Notamacropus eugenii: one gene and its partner. The main gene of each other region encodes a partner of the protein of the gene in region 2 in a complex. Links are inferred from orthologs where the notes say so. Each region holds a gene or a part of one and is shown on either strand. Other genes may lie near its edges.

Evidence for each region. The genes of interacting proteins can lie anywhere in the genome.
Region 1: MEAF6 (region 2) and VPS72 share a complex: the UniProt entries of both Homo sapiens proteins name them as parts of the nuA4 histone acetyltransferase complex. The link is inferred for Notamacropus eugenii from reciprocal best matches to the Homo sapiens genes MEAF6 and VPS72.

Annotation. Positions count from the first base shown.
Region 1 is NC_092873.1:305,027,598-305,035,537, forward strand, and holds the start of VPS72 (vacuolar protein sorting-associated protein 72 homolog), read right to left. Parts: upstream 3,184-7,940; 5' UTR 2,978-3,183; coding exon 2,861-2,977; intron 1-2,860. UniProt on the Homo sapiens protein: Deposition-and-exchange histone chaperone specific for H2AZ1, specifically chaperones H2AZ1 and deposits it into nucleosomes.
Region 2 is NC_092876.1:81,762,692-81,770,961, forward strand, and holds the start of MEAF6 (chromatin modification-related protein MEAF6), read left to right. Parts: upstream 1-4,882; 5' UTR 4,883-4,996; coding exon 4,997-5,086; intron 5,087-6,399; coding exon 6,400-6,515; intron 6,516-8,270.

The DNA.
Region 1 (7,940 bases), on a different chromosome or scaffold from region 2:
GAAGCTAATTAGAAGTTAATAGTGTAATATGGCAGCCAATAAAGAGGCCTAAGGTCTAGTACTGTGTTCAGTCATTCGTGTTTCAGAAGGATGATCGACAAGCTGGAGATCATACATAGATAAGTAAGCAGAATGGGGACGAGAATGAAAAACACACTCTATACATCAATCAGATGAAGGAGATAGGATGTTTAGTCTAGAGAAAACTAAGGGAGGATGTGGTAACTGCCCTCAAGTACCTGAAAGGCTCTCATGTGGAAAAGGAGTATTTGTTGAAAAGGATTATTTGTTTGGCTTTGTCCCAGAGGAGAGGAATGGGAGCAAAGAATGCAACAAACAGAAAAGCAGATTAATATTAAATGTAAAGAAATATCTCCTAACCATTGGCACTATCCTAGAACAGGAATGTGCTGTATGTGATGAGTTCCCCATCAATGGAAGCATTCAGTCAGAAGGCTGAGTAAAGCACTTGTCAGGAACACTGTGGAGGGGATTCCTATTTGGGCACAGGTTGGACTAGATGAACTCTTGAGATCCCTGGCCAACTCTATGATTCCTCTAAATCTTCGGGATCTGTTTTAAGACGAACTGCTGTTTCATGTGAACCATTCCATTCTGTACCCATACAGTTTAAGTTTTTAACCCTGGAGCTGTATTTTACATTTATGTCTATTAAATTTCATGATACATCAATAGGCCAAAAATTTTGAAGCCTAAGTATCTCATCCAAAACTTTCTCTTAGCTTAGGGTTATTTACAAATTCTATAAATAAGGTATATCTGTGCCTTCATCCCCATCTTTGATGAAAACTATAGAACAGCAAGAAACAGAAGACAGAGCCCCAGGTGAGGAGATCTATTAACCCAACATTTTTTGGATAAAAGGCTCCATCTAGATTTCCGCTTAACTATGCTATCATGGAGCTCTCTTCATCTGTATATAAAGATCTCATAAAGAACTGTTATACCCTTTACAGAAATCTGGGTTCACTATGGCTAAAGCATTCCCTTGACAACCTCTTTAAAAAAAGAACAAACCAAACATGGAATGCAAAGAACACCAAGCTTGGAGTCAGATGACCTCAATTTAAATCCAGACTTTTTTGCTTACTACTTATGTAACCCTGAGTAAATCACAACTTTCTGGACCTGCTTTTCCTTATACATACTATAAAAAGGCTAGACCACATGACCTTTACAGCTCTAAATTTATTTGCCCCATCCAACTCTAAATTTATGATCCTAAGAAATGAAGTCAGTCTGGCATAATAATAACAATTGCTAGCCTAGCGTTTATATCATGCTACTATGTACCAGCAGCTGTGTTAAGTAAGCACTTTACAAATGTTACCTCACTTCATCTTCACAAGAACCAGGGGAAGTTGTTGGGGAATCTGAGGCAGAGGCCAAGGGACTTGCCCAGGATCACACAGCTAGTGTGCGAGGTTGGATTTGAATTCGTCTCCCTGACTCCAAGTCCAGTGCTCTACCAACTGAGCCACCAACTGCCTCTTGTTCTTGGTAATTACCATCACTTGTTCGCATGTAATTATATGTTCACTCTGCTCATCACTTCCCTAGTGTTCACAAACTGATTGTTTAAATAACCTCCAAACTGCTTAGGGACCCTTCTCAATCTCCTCACGGATAAGAACACTACCCCTGTAGTCCAAAAGACCCAAAGATTGAATCTCACTTCAGACCTTTATTAGTGCTATGACTCAGAATCAAATCTGTAAAGGAACTATGCAGCGCAACTTGAAGTCACCAAGACCTAAGGTCAAATCTGACCTCAGATACTTACCCTCTCTGTGTTTCAGGTTTCAGGTTTCCCATCTGTAAATATGGTTGTTGTGGGGATAAAATAAGAGTATACTTGTAAAGTGCTTCATAAATGCTTATGATTATTTGATCTCTTGGAGCCTCAGTTTTCAGTTACCTCATCTATAAATGAGGATGGTAACAGCACCTATCTCATAGGACTGTGTTGGACTTAATGAAGGATCTGGCACATAGTTGTTTGTCCTTCCTTCTCCATGACATCAGGAAGGTGATGTCATGATGCACAAGTTAATTGGATTTAAGTGAGGAAGGGCTGTGCAAAATCACCAGCCTCACTTTATCCTTCAGAGTCATCTGGGTCTGGGTCAGGCAGGTGGTGCAGGGGAGAGAGCACTGGTCCTGGAGTCCAGAGGATCTGAGTTCAAATCTGCCCTCAGGCACTTACTATATCTGTGTGACCCTGGGCAAGTCACTTAACCCTGAGTGCCTCCTCCACCAAAAACACAATCACTGGAACCTCCTGGCACATAATAAGCATAAATGGCAGCCCTTGTAATCCTAGTTATATGGTGTTTGGCAATCTTTAAAATTTACTGTAATTTCTAACGGAATAGAGGATGATGATCATTACGGCTAGCATGAAGCGCCTTCCAAATATTCTTTCATTTATTCCCCCAACAACCCTGGGAGGTAAGTGCTATTATGAAATAATACTTATAAAGCACTCCATAAACGCTGGCTATTGGTGTCGTCATCATCATCCCCACTGCGGACAGATGAGGAAACTGAGGCAGGCGGGAGGGAAGTCACTTGCTCAGGGCCACACGGCTGATGAATGTCAGAGGCTGCACTGGAACCCAGGCCTAGCGGATGCCTGATGCCCCGGCCGGGGAAGGATCCAGAAATACCGGCCTGGGCCTCCTCTCCCGACAGCTGTCCCAGGCAGGGGCAGCGGAGGGCGAAGGCCGAGGGGAGCCCCTCCCCCCTGCTCGCCACTCTCCGATCCCCCTCCCCCTCCCCCGGCCCTTTTTCAGACCCCTTCGCGCAGCCCCGCCCCCTCCCTGGGCCCAGCTCTTGCCTCTGTGAACCCCCCATAAGTGGTCTGGTAGAATTCATCTTCCTCCTCTGCCTCCAAGAGCCCAGACAATCGGTTCCCAGCGGTCTTCCGGGGTGCTCGGCCCCCAGCCAAGCTCATCCCTCCTCCGGCTCCAGCCGTCACCGGCGGCGGACCCGAGCTCGCTCGGCGCTCGGTGCTTTCCGCCTGCCTAGCGTCGCCGCCGGAAAGGAGAAATCGTTACAGGCAGAAGCAGCCGAGCGCCGAGCTGAGGATAGAGCCGAGCTCCGGAGCGGCCCCGCCCTGCTCCTCCACCCCTCCCTCTCCGTAGCCCGGCCTCCTGGCACGGAGCCTCGACAGCTCCGCCCCCTTCCCTCTAGGGCCGCCTACTTCTCCTCTCCCCGCCCCTCAAGCTCTCAGCAATTTCCAGTAAACTAGGACGTGAGAGGCACTGGGTCTGGGTTCAATCCGTTTTTGGGTGGTGGCATTAGAGTTGGAAGAGTGTGTCATTCAGCCTCTTTTAAAAGAACAGAAACGGTCACCCAGCGAATCAGTGTCAGAAAGGCTTCTCATCCCCAGGCTGGGGCTCTAGCACAAGGCGCAGACGTCTGCCAAAGCAGGGTTTGTCAACAAAGCTGTTAAAAGTGATGTGGGGACGAGGTCGAAACGAGGAAATGCTTATGTAAAATAATGCTACAGATATAGAACATGGGCATGAAAATGGCACCTGTCATACGCCTGGTGTGGAAATCAAGATAATATTTTAAAGCGCTTGGCACGGTGCCTGACATAATAAGACCTATATATAAAAGTCAACCATTATTATCATTATTGTACAAGGCTCTTTGAGATCTTTTATGTTCATTATAATTCCTCTGGAAATGATGATGAAGATAGCATTTGTACGTAGCACTTTAAGGTTTGCTATGTATATATACACATAGATGTATGTGTACAGCATATATAAAAACACATGCACGTGTATATATAACACAGTATTACAATAACTAGCTTCTTTTAAGCCTCGGAGGGCATGCAAGGTCCCTATGATTTTTCTTCTCTTCAGCTTTAGGGAGAATATTTCAGATGAAAAGTTATAAATTCAGTCACAATTGCTTCAAGCTCCTAAGTAAAAAAATTCCTAACATTGAGATAGAGATTGGACTATTTGTCTAACTTCATATATACATATATGTACATGTACATATACATATATAATATAATGTTAATATATTCAGTAATTAACATGCAGGCATATATTATATATACACATGTAGTTAACCCATAGCCTCTTTATTATTTAGGCAAAATTCAATTTACTAGAAATATTCGAGTAACAATACAGCAGCTTATACTGTAGTGTCTGTGGATAGACCAGCATGAAGTAAGTAGTCCCTGTTCAGACTTGATTCTGCCTGATTGATTCAATCAAGACGTGTTCTTACCTTAAAAAAAAAAAAAAAGCAGTTACTTTTAATTGGGTGAGGTAAATCAGTGGAGTCTGACCCTTATTCGGATGTATAAAGATCAAAAGATAATTTCACAGAATTGCAGAGATTTAGAGCTGGAAAAGATATCACAGTGGGCAAACTAGTCCAACCTGTATGGGATAACTAGGTTAGAGTTTAATGCTATATTTTTCCTGTAAATTTACTTCAACTTTGTAATTTTTAAAAACATAATTGAGGGGAAAAAAAGATTCCTAAGCTTCTTGCCTCTCCTCCATCCCTTCCACCTGTTCTTAATCCAATATGTTTTGGAGATCAATCAACAATGCCAAACTGTCTCTCATATATACGGGATTATTTCTATGATTCTTTTTAGAGGTATCATGCCATTTTCCCTTTTCTAGTGGAAATGGAGATTAGCTCCTTTTCCTACTTCCTAAGGAGTGCAAAACCAATCTGCCCTACCCTTTCCCCCACACCCTGCCACATCATCCTGTGTCCTCATGTGCTATGCCAGGAATGTTGCTAGGGAAGATCAGGGATATGACTCAAACAGAACGTTGCAGAGAAGAGGGTGGGGGGGCTGCCTTGCCTGAAGAGCATACTGCCCCTGCATGAGTCAAGATTGAGAAGGAGGAATCCTTCATTATGTCCTTGCCCATTCCCTGACCTCTCTTGTTTAGTTATGAATATATAATTACTCTTTACTCTGATTCCTTTTCTAATACATGGAGAGAAAATTAAATTTCCTAGGCCAGAAAGAAACTGGTAGACAGAGGCGGTTTTTGTCATTCAAATCCCACTCTCTTCTGGATCCAGAGGTATTGCTGAGGGTGATGAGTTTCCTTCATATGGCTGGATTCCACTTTGGTTAGAGTCATGGAGATATGTCCAACTTTAATTTAATCTCAGTTTTATTCTCATATCTGCTGATTGTAGAAGTGACTCACTATATGAAAGAAACCCTAGCCTCCTTGGGCAGTATTATTTTCTCTGTGAGAATTTTCATAGGCATGTAGAATCTGTTTTCAAAATCTCCTACTCTCGTACCAGCTCACAGGATCATATCCAGTCCTCTCCTTTTATAGGTGAAATAGCAGAACCCTGGAAAGGTTATGGACAGCTGGTGGTACAGTGGGTAGAACATAGGGCTTCAAGTCAGGAAGACTCATCTTCCTGAGTTCAAATTTGGCTTCAGACACTTACTAGTTTGTGTGACCCTGGGCAAGTCACTTAACCCTGTTGGCCTCAGTTTCCTCATCTGTCAAATGAGCTGGAAATGGCAAGCCACTCCAGCATCTTTGCCAAGTAAACCCTAAAAGGGGTCACGAAGAATCGGGCATAATCTAACAAGAACAGAAAATTTAAATAATTTAGTTAAAGCTAGTCCAGCCAGGACCATAACTCAAGTCCCCTGTCTGAATCTAAATTCAGTAATTTTTCCAATATACCAAACTACCCTCCCTCTTCCCTCCTTTGCAAAGCTTGGTATGGGCAACCCATTATTTGGGGGGAAACCAAAACAAACAAACAAAACCAAAAAGTCCAGTAGATGGCAGCAAGGAGCAATTACTATAGTTCCTGACTTCTCCTAGGCGTAAGAGATAGCAAAGTTCATTTGGTGCATATTGGTTGGTTGTTGTCCTTCCTTCTCCAAGACCAAAATGACATCACTATGTTAGAGTCAGGTTACAATGCCTCTAACTGTGGCTGATCAGACCCACTCAAGCTCGAATTGTTCTAATACAGATCGGACACAAATATTCTATGTGAATATTTGGGGTGGATTCTGTAAATGTGTAAATACACATCTTGCATTTTTTTTTTTTTTTTAGTAATTTCAATTTTGCTTTGCTCATAGAGCACAGCACACTTTCTGATGTGCGCACACCATGCTGGGTGGTCCTGTGCCAGTGTCTCCCATGTCACACAATCAATTCCAAAGTTCTTTTTTTGTTTGGTTGGTTTTTTAAATTAATTTTTAGTTTTCAACATTCACTTTTATAAGATTTTGAGTTCTAAATTTCCTCTCTCTCCCCTCTCTCCTCTCCAAGACAACATACCATCTGATACATATACAATCATCTTACACATATTTCCGCACTAGTCATTTTGTGAAAGAAGAATCAGAACAAAAGGGAAAAACCATGAACAAAAATGAACAAAAAAGAAGAAAAAATAGTATGCTTTGAACTGCATTCAGACTGTAGTTCTTTCTCTGGATATGGATAGCGTTTTTCATTAGTCTTTTGGCAATTCCAAAGTTCTTAGGAAAGACATTGTACTGTTTCTTCAGACCACCATGTGAATACTTGCCCTGTGTGAGTTCTCCATAAAACAGTCTTTTAGGCAAGTGTACATTTGGTAATTGAACAATGTGATCAGTCTGTTGAACTTTCACTCTGCAGTAGAGCTTGGCAGTTTAGTCTTAGGAAGGACCTCAGGGTCCAGTACCTTATCCTGCCAGGTGATCTTCAGAATCTTCCTAAGACAATTCAAATGGAAGCGATTCAGTTTCCTGCCATGGAGCTGGTAAAGTGTCCATGTTTCACAAGCATAGAACCGTGAGGTCAGCACAATCAGTCTGTAGACCTTCAGTTTGATAGTCTAATATCTTTTCTTTCCCACTCTTTCCTTGGGAGCCTCCCAAACACTGAGCAAAGTTCTGGCAACGCGAGCTCCAATCTCATGATCAATATGTACATCTCTAGAAAGCATACTGCCAAGGTAAGCTTATATAATCGTGGGGTAAATGAATATAGGGAAGAAAAGATCTTCTCCCTTCTCCAAATTTCCACAATACTTCTGGCAGACTTTGTTGGAACCGAATGGACAAAGACGACAGGATGGAAATGTCAGCGAACTCTCTGTCTTGTGCCTATTTTCCTTTGAACCTACAAGAACTCTTGGCTGAGAACAGGAGCTGCGTGATGGCTTTTGGATGGGGTTAGATGACCTGTGATAGGACCCACTGACCACGGCCTTCTGACCCCGGCGATCTGCACTCATTCAGAAGCTTTGCTTGGCCAGTATGTGATCGGGTGTGTTCCGAAGCTTGTGGGAGAGGCCTGACAGCTTCGGAATGAGTCTAATAAACGTGTCGCGAATGAATGAATACGCGGGAAGATGATCCTGAGGAACATCAGGAGGGAGGGCCCCACGTAGATCTCGGAGGCGGGGCTCTTGGAACTTGACCTGTGACCTAGCTCCAAGTTCCTAAACTTGTTATGAATTCCCTTGCAAAGGGTTTTTTCCTCCATCGGTTCCTTTTCACTAACTGGATACTTACTGAACCCTTTGATTCCTAGCCCACTCTCCAGCTGCACACCCCAAGTGACCCATCCAGGCCACCATAGGGTAGGAAGTCCAAGCGAGTTCGGCTTCTCCTCCCCACCCTCCAGAGCCTCCGGGGATTTACTGGGGCTTGTGAGGGCAGCATCATGTGACCTCGTGACTTGTCCAGATTGGCCTCGTCCTCCTTCTGCTCCCGCCCACCGAAAGTGTAGGCTGGAACGCGGGCGAAGTAGGGAGAACGGGCGCATGCGCGGGCCCTGGATATTTTTTTTTTTTTTTTTTTTTTTTTTTCCCCCTAGACACCCAGTGCGGAGCTCCGGAGTTGGACGATAAACAAGTCTCTGGCAGGGGTTGGGATTCGC
Region 2 (8,270 bases):
AAACAAGCTATTGAAGATAAAAAATGGGAAATGGACAACAAACTACACAGACACAGACTATAATAATTTCATCCAAAAGCTCACTCAATGAAAATTAACTACTACAACAAGAACAAAACAGTACAAAGAGCACATTAGTCAGTAACTATTTGACTTTCTTGCCAGAGAGAGATGACAGCGACACCAGGCTAATAAAATCATGTTGATAAACATTTATTAAGCACACAATATATACCAGGTATTGTACTAGGTGCTGGCAATACAAAGAAAGGCAAGAAAAAAATACTCCCAGCTATCAGGAAACTCATTATCTAATGGAGGGGCCACATGCAAACAACTATGTATAAACAAGATATATACAGGACAAACTGGAGATGATCTCCGAGTGAAGGCACTAAAATTAAAGATTACTGCAAAAGGTGGGATTTTAGCTAAGACTTGAAGAAAGTCAGGAGGTATGGAGAAGGAGCGAGAGAATTCCAGGCATGGGGGACAACCAGTAAAAATGCCTGGGACTGGGAAATGGAGTGTAAAATCCATCTGCTTTGCCACTGTATCCTCAGAATAGCAAGGAGGCTGGTGCTGCTGGATCAGCATATATGGAGGGGAGTAAGGTATAACAAGACTGGAAAGACAGAAAGGGGCTGGGTTTGGAAAGGCTGTATAAGTCAATAAACAGAGAATTTTATATTTAATCCTGGGGTTAAAAGGGAGTCACTGGAGTTTATAGGTATGTGACAAGGTCAGACCTAGGCTTTAGGAAAATAATTTTGACAGCTGAATGGAGGATGGAATAGACTGGGGAGAGAATTGGGGCAGGGAGAGCAACCAGCAAGCAATTGCTATAAACCACACAAAAGGTGATGAGGGCCTGCACCGAGGTGGTGGCAATGTCAGAGAAGAGAGGGAACGTATACAAAAGATATTGCCAAGGTAGAAATGACAGGTGTTGGCAACTGATGGAATATGGGGAGTGAGAGAGTACAAGGTTTTGAGGATGATACCTAGGTTTTGAACCTGGGTGGGGGAAATGGTGCTACCCTTGACAATAAACTAAGAACTAAAAAGGGGAAGATTTGAGTGGAAAGATGAGTTGTTTTGGACATGTTGAATTTCAGATGGCTACAGGACATCTAGTTCAAGATATCCAATAGGCAGTTGGAGATGCAAGACTGGAAGTCAGCAGAGAGGTTAGAGCTGAACAAAGAGATCTAAGAATCATTTCTACAGAGGTGATCATTAAAAACATGGATAAGATCAGCAAGTGTAAAAGTAGAGAGGGGGAAGAGAATTGGGGATGGAAACTTTGGTGAAACTTATGGTTACCAGGATCAACATATAGATGGAAGATTCAGCAAAGGAAACCAAGAAGAGGTCAGACAGGTATGAGGAGAAATAGGAGAGCAATGTCATGAAAACCTAGAGAGAAGAGAAAGGCATATCAAGGAAAGGAGGGAGATCATTAGTGTAAAAGGCTGCAGAAGTCAAAAATGATGAGGACTGGTGGGAATTCATTAGATCTGGCAATTAAATCATTGGTAACTTTGGGGAGCAGTTTCAATTGAATGATGAGACCAGAAGCTGTACTGTAAAGAGTTAAGAGTGAAAGGAAAGGAAGTGGAGTTTCTGGTGGTACATGGCCTTTTTTCAAAGAATTCAGCTATGAAATACAGAAGAGATATAGGGTCACTTCTTCATGTGAGACAGAGTGATGGAAGAAATAGTAGTGCAAGGTATCTGAATGATTTGAGATGAGGAAAGGAGAAAATCACTTGTTTTTTTCAGTGAAATATGAGGTTAGGATACCAAACTCTTCTGGAAAATCTTACAAAGAAGGATGCTGGATATTTGAGCAGTATTATCTCATAAAGCAGAGACAAAATCAGTCTAAAGAAAGTCAGGCAAAATATCCAACTGTGCAGTCATCCTAAAAGAACCCAAGGATGAAAACAGAAAGTGAACTATAAAGAGAAGAGTATTTGAAAAGATTTTCCAAAATTATTACAAGAAACGGTTTTCTCTATCAAGGCTAGTGGAACCACCACACTTAGGCCCTAATATCAGTCTCTAAGGGACTGACAGAAGTAGAATTGGCACTAAAGAACAAAGATGGGAAAAAGAGTTGAATTGGATCAAGTATGTATAGACAAGATCCATGTTGGAGGTGACACAATCGTGAGGTAATGAGGGACTGATTCATGAGGTTATCTAAACGAGGGTACCAAAGGGCTGCGGGGAAAAACCAACAACTAAAAACTCACACCTAATTGATTCCCCCAAAAGTGACTGAGAATATGTCAACAGACTTATGACAGATCTTGTCCAACTGAAGACAATATAGATGGACAATGAGCTAGACCAAGGGTTGAAAAGGAGGATGGGTTGGATTGCTTTCAAGAAAATGCGAAGCACTTTTACTGACCCCTTCCTCCAATCAAGCTCCTCATGACAACAAATGTCCATCTTTTCTTTACAAATATAGTCTATAAAAGCTGGGGTCCTTAGACCAGGTCCCACCAGCACTGATGAGTTGGGTTCTCAAGGGCAGGGAGGTTTCTTTTGATTCCTTCAGCTTGAATCCCCAACCTGGTATGTTCTCCCCAATGGCAATAGCTATTACAGTTAGTCTTTCCCCTAGGAAATTCACCTTAGATACTAGGGCTCTAGGATCATTTAAACAATTAACATTAAATTTGCTTTTAGAAAGGGATATTTACTGAGAGGATATAACAAGAATAGAAGTATAAACTATTCTCCCTGAGCACCTCAGGGCATACTGTCCTCTATACCACCTCAGTCCCTGGGGCTTAGGGGGCACCATTTTAAAGCAGTTGCTACATAGCATTTACTCTGCCAACTTCTCGTCTGAATGAGGTACAGCAAATGGACACAGTCCATGCCTTGCTTGTAGGACCTCATTCAGTGCTTCTGTTACTAGGGTATCACCTACTGCTAGTCTGGGCTCTGTTGGTCATTTTTTTTTTTTTATCAAAAATGTTTATCTAAAAGTTCACAGATTCTAGATTAATAACCCCTGCTTTAGAGACATATAATCTGTCAAAGTTCTTTTTAAAAATTTATTTGTTTTTAACATTCACTTTTATAAGATTTTGAGCTCCTTATGTTCCCCCCTCCCCAAGATGTCAAGCAATTTGATATAGACTATATGTATACAATTATATTCAACATATTTCCACATTAGTCACGTTGTCAAAGAAGAATCAGAACAAAAGGGGAAAACCATAAGAAAGAGAGAAAATAGTCTGCTTTAATCTGTTTTCAGACTCCATAGTCCTTTCTCTGGATGTGGATAGCATTTTTCATCATGAGTCTTTTTGAGTTGTCTTAGATCAGGGGTGGGGAACCTGCAGCCTCAAGGCCACATGTGGCCTTCTAGCTCCTCAAGATTCTCTATGGCAGTGTTGGAGTTTTGTCAGCTTTAACTATGGACTCCGCCACTGAGCCTCTGTTCCTGAAGCTTTTATAATCTTACCAGGTTTTTCTACCTCCAATATTCCTTCACTATACAGCATTAAAATAAAGACACAATGGAAGCAACATGGCTTCATGTGGCTATAGTGGAGAAAGTAGGTTACTGGTACTTCCTCTTTCGGAAACAATAGGGCCATGTGCTTCAGACTGGCTCCTGGTGAGAGGGGGTCTGTGGCCCTGGAGATTGGTAACACCTCTCTGGATGCCAGGGAAGGAAAAAGGGCTGAGTTGCCTTCTCAATAGTTTTTTATTTACAGTCCCAGTTCTGGTTCAGCAGCCAATCAAAAGTCCATGTGTTTAGTGAACTGGAAATAATTAGAATAACTGTGCTGTGCATGCTCTGAGGTGGAGAGCAGGGTCCTCCATTACTCATCCTCACACACTTCCCAAGGCAGGTGTGGCAGCAGGCAGAGGGCACTGCTGTGCTTTGAGGAAACAGCTCTCACTGGTCAGCGTCCCCCTTCCCTCATTGCTTCTGAAAAATTCAAAATGAGCATCACAGAGAGGACAATGGAAAGGTCTGTGGTTGGGGCAAGCAGGCTGCCACATAGAACCAAGTGTAAAAACAGGAGTAAAGGCTATCATCAGAGATGTACGACAGAAGGAGAAGATGGACTGTGCACTAGTAGCTTCTCCAGGTTGGGAGAGAGCAGGAAAGGCCTTCAACAACTTGTGACACACTTTGGGAGGGTTAAGTCGAGAATGGTGCTGGACAGGCTGGCTAGGATGCGTCAGGATGTCCACTGGTGGAGGGAACTCCTAGACGACGAGATCGCAGATTCACTGGTGTATCTTGGAGAAGTCTGGGACTTAAAGACAACTCACGAAACTTGCATTCTTGCGCTTGGCAGCTCCTGACCAGTACTGGTCGAGCTCACCTCCCTTCCCTTCTCTGTGTCTGGTTTCCTCCCTGGCCAAATAAGGCAGCGGTTGTCCGAGGTCCTGCTGTTCTGCCCCCACGGCCTCAGCTGGGCCAGAGGGCAGAGCTCTCAAAATCTCTCCCTCCCTCCTCCCTCCATCTCCTCTCTTCTCTCTCCTTCCCTTCTCCCCCCACGATCTCTTCTCTTTTCCCTTCCCTTCTCTCCTCCATCCCACTCCTCTTCCTCTCTCTGTCCCTTTCCTTCTCCTCTTCTCTCTCCCTCATTCCCTCTATTCTCTCTCCCCTTCTCCATTTTCTCCTCCTCTCTCTACTTATCTCTCTCTCCTCTCCCTCCATTTCCTCTCTACTCTCTTTTCTGTTCCCTTCCTTCTATTTCCTCTTCTCTCTCCCTTTATTTCCTCTCTCTCTCTTTCCACTTCCTCTCTCCCCCTCCCTTGATTTCCTCTCTGCTCTCCACGGCCTGCCTCCTCCCCCACCCGCCTGGGACGCCCGCGCGCAGGCGCAGTGGCGGCGGCGCCCCCTGGCGGCCGAGGGGCGGGGGCGCGGCGGGGCCGCCTCCCTCGCTCGCTCCCTCCCCACCCCGCTCGCTCTCTCTCTGCCTCCTTCCTCGCGCCTCGGCCCAACATGGCGATGCACAACAAGGCGGCGCCGCCGCAGATCCCGGACACCCGGCGGGAACTGGCCGAGCTGGTGAAGCGCAAGCAGGAGCTGGCGGTGAGAGGGCAGGAGGGAGGAGGAGGAAGGCGCTCGGGTCTTCCTCGCCCAGCCCGGGAGCACCTCGGGGCGGGGGTCCGGCCCGGCCCGGCTTCCTGGCGGCCGTTACGCCGGCGGCAGCGGCGCGGGCCCTGGGCTTCTCTGCGAGCCCGGCGCACGGCGCCCCTTCCTCCGCTTCCGCTTCCCGCTCCCCGCGGCCCGGGGGGCCCAGCCTCGCGCCCCGGGGCCCAGCCGCGCTCGCGCCCGCCTCCACGGGCCCGCGCCCCCACGCGCCCCCGGGGACTGCCGGGCGCGAGCCGCGGGGGCGGAGGCGGGGCTGAGCAGCGGGATGGGCGGGGCGGGGGCGGGGCGGATGGGGGAGGGGAACACAGCGGAAGCAGGGTGGGTTTCTGGCTTCATAGATTTAGAGCTAGTCCCACCTCTCCATTTGACAGCTGGGGAAACTGAGGCCCAGGGATGCTCTGTAGGGAAGCACATGGGGAAAGAAAGTGAAGGGGCCTTCTGAGGAGGTGTTCCTGGGATGGGACAGCTGGGGAATTGGGACTTTAGGCGGCGGGATGGAGGGGGAGGGAGGTGGGACTGGGTACTCTCCCAGGAGTGCCTCTGGTGGGGGGTGGGGAGGAGGTAGGTGTGGAAAAGACTTGGAATTGGGAGGTATTTGGGGGAAGGGAGAGGATGGTGTGGGAGGGATAATAGGGTTGGGGGAATGTAGGGTTATTTGGTAAGGGGAGGACAGAAGCAAAGCAAAGTCACCCTTGAACAGAACCTTGCATGGGGCTGGTGGTGGGCCATTCTCACCTGGAGCAGCAAATGTTGGTTACTGTAGCCACAAGGAATCCAGTGACGTTTTCTGGCTCTTGCTAATGGAAAAGGGATCCTGACCCTTAAAAGGCTTTCTGAGCCTTATGGATGGAAGGCCCTTCCAAAGCTTATGCTGCTCTTACAAGAACTTTTTACCAACCTGAGTGAAATTCCCTTTTGGTAGCAGTCAGCCTGCTCCTCTAGGTGTCAAAAGCAGTATTAGTGTAACTCAGAAACAGCAAGGGTTCAATTTACCCCAAATCCTAACTTTGCCTCCCAAAGCCAAAGTGATGATTGTGTAATAAATAGTTTGGGTATAATCATACATCACCTACTCAATGGAGGGTAAGAATTCCGTGGAAATGTACTGAAAAGGTGCTGTCAGGTGTGAATTATTGTGAGGCAAGAGCCTCCGTTTTAAACCTGTTGACTAAATCTCCTTTTGGTCAGACTGAATATTCCAACTTGAAAGGTAGTAGCATCCCTGTGCTTTTTTTGTGTGTGTCCACCAGGAGACGCTGGCAAACTTGGAGAGACAGATCTATGCTTTTGAAGGGAGCTACTTGGAAGACACCCAGATGTATGGCAATATTATTCGGGGCTGGGACCGCTATCTGACAAATCAAAAGTGAGTGTCAGAAAGGCTTCTGTTTTATAGCGGGTGTTTTGGGTAGAATGTCACCAATTTCTGTTTTTAAGAGTGTGTCTCCAGTAGCAGTTTCTAGTTTAATATCTAGCACCATTTGTCATCATATGTGGAGCCATAGAGCTTAGCCAATTCCAGGTAGCAAATTCCCTTAAGTGACTTTACTCAACAGTTCTGTGTGAGTTTGACATCTGGGCTTTTTTTGTTTTACTGAAATAATCAGTCCTCAGGGGTCAGTCCAGTTTCTCTCCTAAACCTATTACTGTGTTTTATGCTGTCGAGTGATGGCAAGAATCCTGAATTTGTAGTTAGAGAGCTTCTGTTTGGATTCCTGCTTTGTTAATTATTTTTTAAAGTGATTGCCCAAAGTCCCATCTCTGGACCTTCATGTCCCTGTCTGTAAAATGAGGAGGTTGGTAATAGATGAGTTCTGAGGTCCCTTCCAGCTTTAATCCACACTTGTAGTTGATATCCGGGAATGACTTCTTCATTTTCCATTCTCAAAACTCTTCTGAAAACTGACCAAAAAAAATCTTGAAATTTAGTGGGTAGAAGCAGAAACTCACCAGATGTGCCTTTTGTATTGTACTGTGTAGTGTACTGTTGCTTCTAAGTTTTAACTCCTAGTGTTTTCTGCTCTTAAAGTAATGGTGCTCATTTGGAAGTCAGAGCATTTGACTGATCTGTACATTTTGAATATGAGGAAACTGTGGCCCAACATGCTGTCACAGAATCTAAGAGTCAGAAAGGTAGCCATGAAGTCCAATCTGAAGCCTGAAATGTAATAGAAGTTAGTGAAACGACAGGACTCTGGAGTGGAAGGAGCCCTATCTCACTTGTCAGTCCTTGGGCTGGTCACTTACTTGAACCTCAGTTTTCTGTACTTTATGATGGCGATTGAAATCCTTGTACTACCTTCTTTACAGGGTAGTGGTGATAAAAGTTCCTTGTAAATTTCTAAACTAGTATTCTAACCCACAAGACACACTACTCCAGTTCATTTTTCATTCCTTTTTAGTAGTGTCTGTCACCCTTGGAGACCAAAGTTGAAGGTAATTTTGATGTTACATTTTGGAATCCTTGGGGATAGACAATGCAGTAGAAACACATTGTGAAATGGAAGCCTGTATGAGAGCTTTAGCTTGTGGTAATGTTAATCTCCCACCCCCTTACTCCACCCTGGTCATTAGGTCCTCTGAGATCATCCTCCAGATGATTTGGATAATTTCTTTTGGTGTCTCTGAGTGGCAAAGTGAGGATGAGAGCTGTGAAAGAGTTGTGAACTGTGCTTAAATCAGCTTTTCAAAGTATAATGACAGCTCAATCAGAAGGTCAAATTAACAACAAGGTATGAAAAAAAGTAGTTTACCACTAACTATTTGATCAAATGATACAGTGAACTTTGTAAACCTTTTTAAAAGCTTTATATATGCCCAACTTTGAATATTAACTCCCTCAGTCCTCATCTTTCTGTTCCTATTTTACTTTTTCCTTCCCATCTAATATACTTTATCCTTCTATTTGTCTCTCTCCCTGCCTCCTATCCATTTGTACATTAGTGTTTGCCCCTTTCCTTTGCTCTTGTCTCCCTTCATTCTTTCTCTACTTCTCTAAGTTTTTTCCTTGAATTTTATGTCTTTCATTCTTGACCTTTGTGTATATTTTGTTTTCTTCCTTGCTCTTTATCTCTCTCCTTTTCCCTTTTCCTCTTACTGTTGGGTCTTTTTTTTTTTTAAA